Canis lupus familiaris: one gene and its partner. The protein of the gene in region 2 binds, or shares a complex with, the protein of the main gene of each other region. Links are inferred from orthologs where the notes say so. Each region holds a gene or a part of one and is shown on either strand. Other genes may lie near its edges. The genes, in order: WDR77 and PRMT5.

Region 1 (3,364 bases), on a different chromosome or scaffold from region 2:
CCCGTTTCATGCAACTGTAGCTGAGCTAAACTTGCAAAGCACCAAAGTACATAACTGATTATATTTAGTTTCATAATCAGTAATTAACCAGGACTTCTGGCAGTAGCCAGTCCACCAACCCAAGTAACCCAATATTTAAATTCCAACTAGCTACTCTTAAGGGGCTAGGGAAGCACACACACAAATCCTGGGTCATGATATCCTGATGCTTCATATAGTGATATGTCTAACTTCCAAAGACAGGCCAACGAAGCCAACACTTTTTATTTCACCAACTGGTATTTCTGATTTTCTGATGCTGCACTTTAAAATCTTCAGAGTCCACAAAAACAGCATTCAGACCTCCTATGTCCAGAGAATGGGATCCAGAGGCCAGGAGAGGTCAGGCCTCAAGCTGTTTTTCAGTGGGAATCATGGCAGACATTTTTCTCCAAGTCTGTGTCAGTTTTTAACTTAACTGAAATGCCTTTAAGCTCTCCATCATCCCAACTTTTTTCCATGGGATCTATGATAGGAAAACATTCATCTTTCACATATACAATTCCATGGGCCGGGGTTGGAGGTGGGGGGGGGGGCAGGGGGGAGCATAATATAGGCACCAGCCAAAATTTTATACAGCCAGAAAATGCATTTTTTACTCCGTTTAATGGCAAAGAGATGTGCAAAACTATGATGAGTGTCCTGGCTCTTCCTTGAGATGAGCTGGGCAGGATTTTTGTGAATGAAGCACTGCCATGAAAAAGGCAGACTAAGTTCTATAAAAAATAAAGTTGCTCCCATCTCCATGAGTAGTATATAAGCTGCTTCCAAGAATCCAGGGATGCCCCACATCCCATACCTCATCTAGTCATGGCCACTTCCTCATGCACAGCTACATAGGAAGCATAAAACCCTTTTGTGAACTTTGTGGGTTTTTTTTTTTTTTTTTTTTTTGGTGGGGGGAGAACTTGGAAAGACGTTAAGATGGACTTAATTCCTCCCACCGCCAATAACTATGTATCTACAGACACACACTCAGACACACCTACATATCCAATTTTAAGAACGCTGGTCTTCCCTATGACTACAGGATCCCAGAATCCAGCGTCCCTCAGGCCAAGAGACAATGCCTATTAACTGCCCAGATCTGGTGTAGAGCATACTGTAAGGCTCCTGTGTGGTCTCACAGGCTGAGAGGGCAGGGGCAAAGGGATACTCATGGGGGATTCGCTTTTTGTCTTAAATCCAATCTACTCGGCAACACTCTTAGGTCCAAGGGCTGGGAGAGGCTCTGTGGGCAGGATGTGGTGGATGACCTGATGATCCCAGCCTACTGTGGTAAGGAGGGAGTGATTGAGCGGGGACCACGTAGCATCTCTCACAAAGTCTCTGTGGGCTCGGCTTCTAAACCTAAAAAAGAAAAAAGGAAAGTTTGGGCATGGTGAGAGACAAGAGGAAAATGCAAAGGTGGAGAAGAGAGAGAATCCAACACAACCAGGACACCTTTCTGGATGTGTTACATAAACTTCACCATATGCGTGGCAATGTGGTTATCCATAGAGAACCTCATCTCTCACTCGATCCTGCGCCCTAATTCCATATAAAAGTGGTGGCTAAAGAAAGGTAGTAACATGGGCCAGGATCAGAAAGTAACTCCTGGCAAAGAAGAAAGTATAATTCCAGTACTCTGCTGCCTTTCACCCCACAGCAGGCCCATTTCATGTACGTGCCTTGTATGTGAAGAGTGCAGACTGCCCCTTTCTGGGGGACAGCTGCCACCACACCCCTCCTTGACCAGGGATGGAACTGGCTGTGAGTCAGCCCCAGGAAGAGGGAGACAGTCGTGTCAGCCGGTTGCCATTACCTAGTCCCCTTGAGTGAGACAGCGTACTCGGTGCACTTTAATGAAAACAGAAAGGACCCAGTCAACCACAGCTCTTCTCCCCGATTCCTGATGACTTACACCTCAGAAAGGCCACAGTCCAGCACAGCGAGTGAGCAGTCCTCACTGACAGCGGCCAGGAAGGGAACACTAGGAGAGCAAGGGGAGGGTTATGACAGGTAAAGCCATGGTTCCAAGATGAATCCTGCCCAGTCTAGTTCTCAGCCCCCACCCTAACGGGACCCAGGGGAGGTGGCTTGATCCTCACTTTGGGTTAAGGTCTGGCTACCACTCAACTCCACGTTACAAGTTCCTGGGAAAGATGAGGGAAATGGAACAAGCCAAGTTTACAATTATCCTGGCAACTAACTATCCCATCTGGTCCCTCCCTGCAGCTTTAGCAATAATCCAAAAACACAGTTTTCCCACCCAACAGTCTCAGAAGCTCACAATATTCATCATTTTGGGTGCTGAGCAGGAACAAGACCAGCTTTCAGCCATGTGAAGACAGACACTACATCACCCAAAAAAAGACTATGGTCTTAAGAGATCTTTAGCATTCTGAAACCTCAGCTAGGTCACTGTCTGCTTTAAGGAATGACCTAATTGGCTAATGCTCTGCAAACATAAGCATCCCCCTGCACTGTCCCATTCATACCCAGCAGGCCCCTGGGGACAAAGGACAGTACCTGTGTGGGGAGAACACCAGCCCAGTGACACACTGGGAGTTCACGGCTGAGCTGAGGGCACAACTTGCACTCTTGGTGTCCACCAGGGAGACGGTCCCACTCTCATCACCTAGAGAAAGCAGGGAGCCCATCACAGTGGGTAAGAGCATGGGCCCTGGAGTCAGCCAGACCTGGATTTGAATGTTAGTCCCTCAGCCTTACACAAGCTAACCACTCTGTGCATCAGTTTCTTCTTTTGCAAAGTGGGGATAATTAGTCACTGGTGGTTGTGAAAATTAATGAACGAGGTAGTTATTATTTTAACCACAAACTATGTCATCACAGGTACAGCCTCATCGCTGTGAGAGCATGAGAGCTACCCCCACTCTACAACAGAATTCTCTACGTAGCAATCCACTTGTTCTGTTGTGATCCACTGACTTCTGGCTGCACCCAAAACATAGGAGCTGAAGCACATACTCAGGAATCAAATCTACCAGGAAAAAAGTCATCACATTTTGCAAAGTCAAACTAAAATCACTTTTGGATCATTCCACCTTCCCACCTCACCACTGGCAGAATTTACATAATGCTCAGGTGTGCTGGTGAGACTGAGCGGCCAGGGCTTTGTGCTTTACAGGGTCAGCGTGCTCTCATCCTCCCCCTTCCCAGAATCAAAACGCTGTGTGACAGGCCGCCTTACCAAAAACAAAGACTTCACTCTGCTGAGGATGCCAAGCCAGGGAGGTAGGAAGGTAGCCAGAGGCAGTGCAGCCTGCAAAGAGAGAAGAGGGATCTGAAACAAGACTTAGAGCCCAGCTCTGGGAAGGAGCTT
Region 2 (4,609 bases):
CCTCTCTGTGTCTCTCATGAATAAATACATAAAATCTTAAAAAAAAAAAAAAAGATGTTAATAACAGAGAAACCTGTGGGGAGGCAGATGGAAACTCCGCATTCTACCTGCAGTTTTTCTGTAAATCTAAAACTGTTTTAAGAAATAAAGTCTAGTAATAATAGTTGTTGTTGTAGTAATATCTGCAAAAATCAACTGAAGATTAAGATGAGACAACCCCATTAGGCTTCATAAGCATTTTCTTCGTTGTTTGGCTTTTTGGACTTTCATCCTTCTGGAGCTCTTACATTGCACCCAGGGCTCTTATCCTATCCACACCGTTTCCGTGTTTCCAAGGACCTTGTCCCTGACTGGCCCGGATGATCTCATTCAGTCTAGGTCACTCTTTACTTCGAGGTCGCTACCTCTCTTCTGGCCATTTCCAAATCTCATCAGGTCATAACACTGTTCATCCAACTCTCTATTACACAGCGCCCCCTAGGCGTCCAATTAATTCAGCATTTGCAAGCCGAACTGATTGTCCCTTAACCCACTTTTCTTTCTTGTTTCACTCACAGAGAGGCCAGAACCGAGACTCCTCTTTCTTGTGGCTCCCTGCCTAGCAGCCCCTCAGTTCTGTCAATGCCGCTTTCTTCGGGCCTTCTGTAATGTGTTCTCTTTCGATCCCCGCTGCCAGGCCCTCAACACCTCTGGGCTGCCTGCTTCCAGGTATTCCCTTTCTCTCCGTGTTTTTCCTTGCTTCATTCCTCTCCTTCCGTTCCACGCCTCTACAAGAATGTAGATATGTTTTCCCAGCCCTCCTCCAGGCAGTTCATGACTCCTCACCATGAGTGTTGTGTGTGCGCGCGCGCGCGTGTGTACCTTTTGTGTCTGAGATATAGAACCTGAGGAATTAGTGGCTTAGTTGTCATAATCTATTTGTAAATACACTAAGGTCCATACAAAGCCCATTTTAAGAGCAGCAGCCATTAACTCAGTTCTCTCAGTTTAGACGGACCCGAGCAGTGACACAAGAACCATCTCTGAATTAGGTAACAGGAAAAGCCGACATAAGATGGCTGCAGAACTCAACCAAAATAAGACTTGAAAAATGAAGGTGTGAAAAGTTACGAAGCAAACTTCCCAAAGTGTAAGGAAAGGGGTAGACCTAAAAGACGCTATCTAAGGCCATGTTGCGTGAGGTGCAATAAGGAAACCACCGGTCTCACTCGAGCCAGCCAGGAGTCGAACCTGGAATCTTCTGATCCGTAGTCAGACGCGTTATCCATTGCGCCACTGGCCCGGAGACAATTGCTCTCGGCTCAGTGATGATAGTTCAAGCTTATGCTGCAGGGTTTCATGGGACGCGTAGTCCCCCAACGGAGTTCTACGAACACAGGCGCATCATGGGAGATTGAAGTTCGTCGAAAACTACATCCCGAGATTGGTGGATCTTACGGAGCCACGTCGTACGTCACGGGCGCAGCCAGCGGATTGGCGGAAAGAGCCACTCCCCACCCCTCGGCCTCCCGCTCTGGAGCAGTGGCAGACGCTCTGGTTGTTAGGACGACTCATTCCGCCTTCCGGGGGCTTTTTTCTGGCTTTGTGATTGGCTGCTAATATCAAGGCATCCCGGCGTGGACGGCGCGAGGGAAAAGATGGCGGCGATGGCGGTCGGAGGTGCCGGTGGGAGCCGCGTGTCCAGCGGGAGGGACCTGAACTGCGTGCCCGAAATAGCTGACACTTTGGGGGCTGTGGCCAAGCAGGGGTGAGGGTCCAGACCTCCGCAAGCGGAATGCGGGCTCCGAACTCGGGGACGAAGAGGGACAGACTAGTCATCCCCGAAAGGCAGGGGTGAGGGGGTCGGAGTGGGTAAGATTAGGGCGGGAGAAACCATTACTCCTTGGGGGAGGATGGGGAAGCCTTAGGCCCTGGAGCGTGAAACAAACAAACAAACAAACAAAGAAAAACAAACAAAAAAACTTGCTGGGGCGTGTGGCCACTGAGCCCCAAAGTCAGGGGAGTTGTCAGGTAAACTCAAAAAGAGGACTACAGACCTCCAGGGCCCTGGAGAGCGGGATTATAGTCTGAGAATGGGAGAGAGTGTTAGGGGCTAGGGAGAGAAGAGAAACCTTGGGGGGAAGCATGGGCGGTACTGAGGCAAATCTGGATGTGACAGTCTTGGAAAACCGGTGACAACAGAGTAGAAAAGCCACTTGGCGTGGATTTTTATCTTTTTTCCTTTTCCATGCTTGTGTTTTGGGGAGAAACTGAGGCACAGTGCAGCGGAAGTAACATGCCCCAAGGCAGGCTGAACTCAGCAGTCCAGTCGGGTGACTGATGGCAGCAGAAAGGGTTGTGCAGAATTGAGATAGCCTAATCCAGTTGCTTGGATCTCTGGGCACTGCTGCTCTCTTTACATGACGATTCTGGGTCTGTCGCGGTTGTAGGTTTGATTTCCTCTGCATGCCTGTCTTCCACCCGCGTTTCAAGAGGGAGTTCACTCAGGAACCTGCTAAGAATCGGCCGGGCCCCCAGACACGATCAGACCTACTGCTGTCAGGAAGGGGTAGGGACCATCCCATATGCCCCTTAATTATTAGAGGCAATAACAACTTCTGCTTTAACAGTGCCCTCATTCTCCTCCTTTCCTGACTTGGATATATTGGTTAGTCCTGGGACATAGATAACTCTTGTTTTCTCCTTGCTTACCTGCTAAAAAGCCTTACTCTATTCTGCATCAGGCTATCCCACATCTGTGATAGAAAAAGTCTTTGTTTCTCATCTCTACTCTCTATTCCCTGTTAAGAATTAGAAATTGAACAAGTAAAGCACTGAACCTCATATAGTTTTGTCTTTCTTGGATGGGGGGAGTGCAGACTGGAATACGCTAATTGTGGGAAAGCTTTCTCCATGGATTCGTCCAGACTCAAAAGTGGAGAAGATCCGCAGGAACTCTGAGGCGGTAAGACTGTTTGACTTCACTGGCTCTTTCTAGAGATCAGGTCCATAACCTAGCTGGGTGCAGAGAGCAGTTTTTTTCCTCCCATAACTTAGTAAATCTAATATAATGCAATTAAACCTATTTGGGTTGCTAACTCTTCATGTCTTCTTGATCTCCATTTCCAGGCAATGTTACAGGAGCTGAATTTTGGGGCATATTTGGGTCTTCCAGCTTTCCTGTTGCCCCTAAATCAGGAAGATAACACAAACTTGGCCAGGGTTTTGACCAACCACATCCACACTGGCCACCACTCGTCCATGGTATGGCTTGAGGGCTTCTTTTTCTGCTGAATATTATGGTAGTCAAGCTGTGCTAGGTACCTTCTTGTTCCTAGCCATTCAGTAAACGGTGCAGTTGGCAGAACTGAAATGTCAGTACTGGCCACCACCATCTAAAAGTGGTAAGCAGAGGGTTAGAAAACATAGAATGTACAATTATTTCTAGAAACTTATGGCTGCAATAAAGGACAGGGCAGATATTTACATATGGATATACACAAGATAAGTTTATATGTACATATAATCAGAACTTGGGAAAAACATATAAAAGGGTTAACTTGCAATCTGGATCAAGATAATTGAAGGAAGCTTTCTGGACCCAATGAGTTCAAAATAGAGTTCTAAATAGGGTACTTGTTCACATGCAGTTCTGGATGCGGGTACCCTTGGTGGCTCCAGAGGACCTGAGAGATGATATAATTGAGAATGCACCAAGTACACATACAGAGGAGTATAGTGGAGAGGAGAAGACATGGATGTGGTATGTCTCCTTTTGCTGCTATACAGGGCAAAGGGTACGGGGAGGGGAAGTATAGGGTAGAGCCTGTTGTGTGTGTGGGGGTCTTCTCTAGCTATGGCGATTGGTGGGCATATGTATTTGACTGTTTTTTTTTTTTTTTTCTTCCTGTATTTCACCCTGAACAGGTGGCACAACTTCAGGACCTTGTGTGACTATAGCAAGAGGATTGCAGTGGGTAAGTCTACAAGGGCCCTGGGATAGGTTTCCCTTCTCTGACCTCCTGTGAATAAGAATCAGGGGTTTCAGAGATGCCAGATGAAGTGTGTGCATTTTTGATAACGGTGTACTTCTGGTGACTTTACAGTTTGAGATATTACTTTATCAATTTTTATAAAAATGCAGAATTTTATTTTTTAAAAAAGCTATGTTGTTAGCACACAGAACACTTGTTGTTTTGGGGCAAGGGCATATGTCACTAATAGAATATCTCCAAAGCTAGATTGATACTGGGAGGGATGGCGGGGAGCACCCTTCTAGTTTTGAAAAACTTCCTCTTGGTTCCCAGGAGGAGGGATTCCTTGATATTGACAAAACATTAGGCACTTTGGCATAGATGCCTTAGAAAAAATAAAATTCATTTTTTACGTCCTCTTCTTCCTCTCCACCTTCAACATGGACTTGACTCCCTTAAACCCAGAGACCTGTTGGAACCTGACCCCAAAACATGGTTGCCAGTATATCAGGCAATATGGACTTTGCAGTGTCACCATGGAGATGGCATCCTTCAAGAGTTCCCTTTTTAGCTTGTGAATCTTCAGATTGATAATTCTGTCATTCTCATTTGGTTTCCTGGAAGTCAGGATTGGCTTGTGAAAAGTTGTTAGCAAT

The links.
Region 1: PRMT5 (region 2) and WDR77 share a complex: the UniProt entries of both Homo sapiens proteins name them as parts of the methylosome complex. The link is inferred for Canis lupus familiaris from reciprocal best matches to the Homo sapiens genes PRMT5 and WDR77.

The regions. Positions count from the first base shown.
Region 1 is NC_049227.1:41,102,163-41,105,526, reverse strand, and holds the end of WDR77 (methylosome protein 50), read right to left. Parts: intron 3,305-3,364; coding exon 3,233-3,304; intron 2,660-3,232; coding exon 2,551-2,659; intron 2,012-2,550; coding exon 1,943-2,011; intron 1,390-1,942; coding exon 1,230-1,389; 3' UTR 627-1,229; downstream 1-626. UniProt on the Homo sapiens protein: Non-catalytic component of the methylosome complex, composed of PRMT5, WDR77 and CLNS1A, which modifies specific arginines to dimethylarginines in several spliceosomal Sm proteins and histones.
Region 2 is NC_049229.1:3,377,350-3,381,958, reverse strand, and holds the start of PRMT5 (protein arginine N-methyltransferase 5), read left to right. Parts: upstream 1-1,505; 5' UTR 1,506-1,637; coding exon 1,638-1,747; exon of another isoform or gene 1,748-1,774; coding exon of another isoform or gene 1,775-1,833; intron 1,834-2,429; coding exon 2,430-2,548; intron 2,549-2,828; coding exon 2,829-2,944; intron 2,945-3,108; coding exon 3,109-3,243; intron 3,244-3,629; coding exon 3,630-3,742; intron 3,743-3,906; coding exon 3,907-3,956; intron 3,957-4,609. UniProt on the Homo sapiens protein: Arginine methyltransferase that can both catalyze the formation of omega-N monomethylarginine (MMA) and symmetrical dimethylarginine (sDMA), with a preference for the formation of MMA.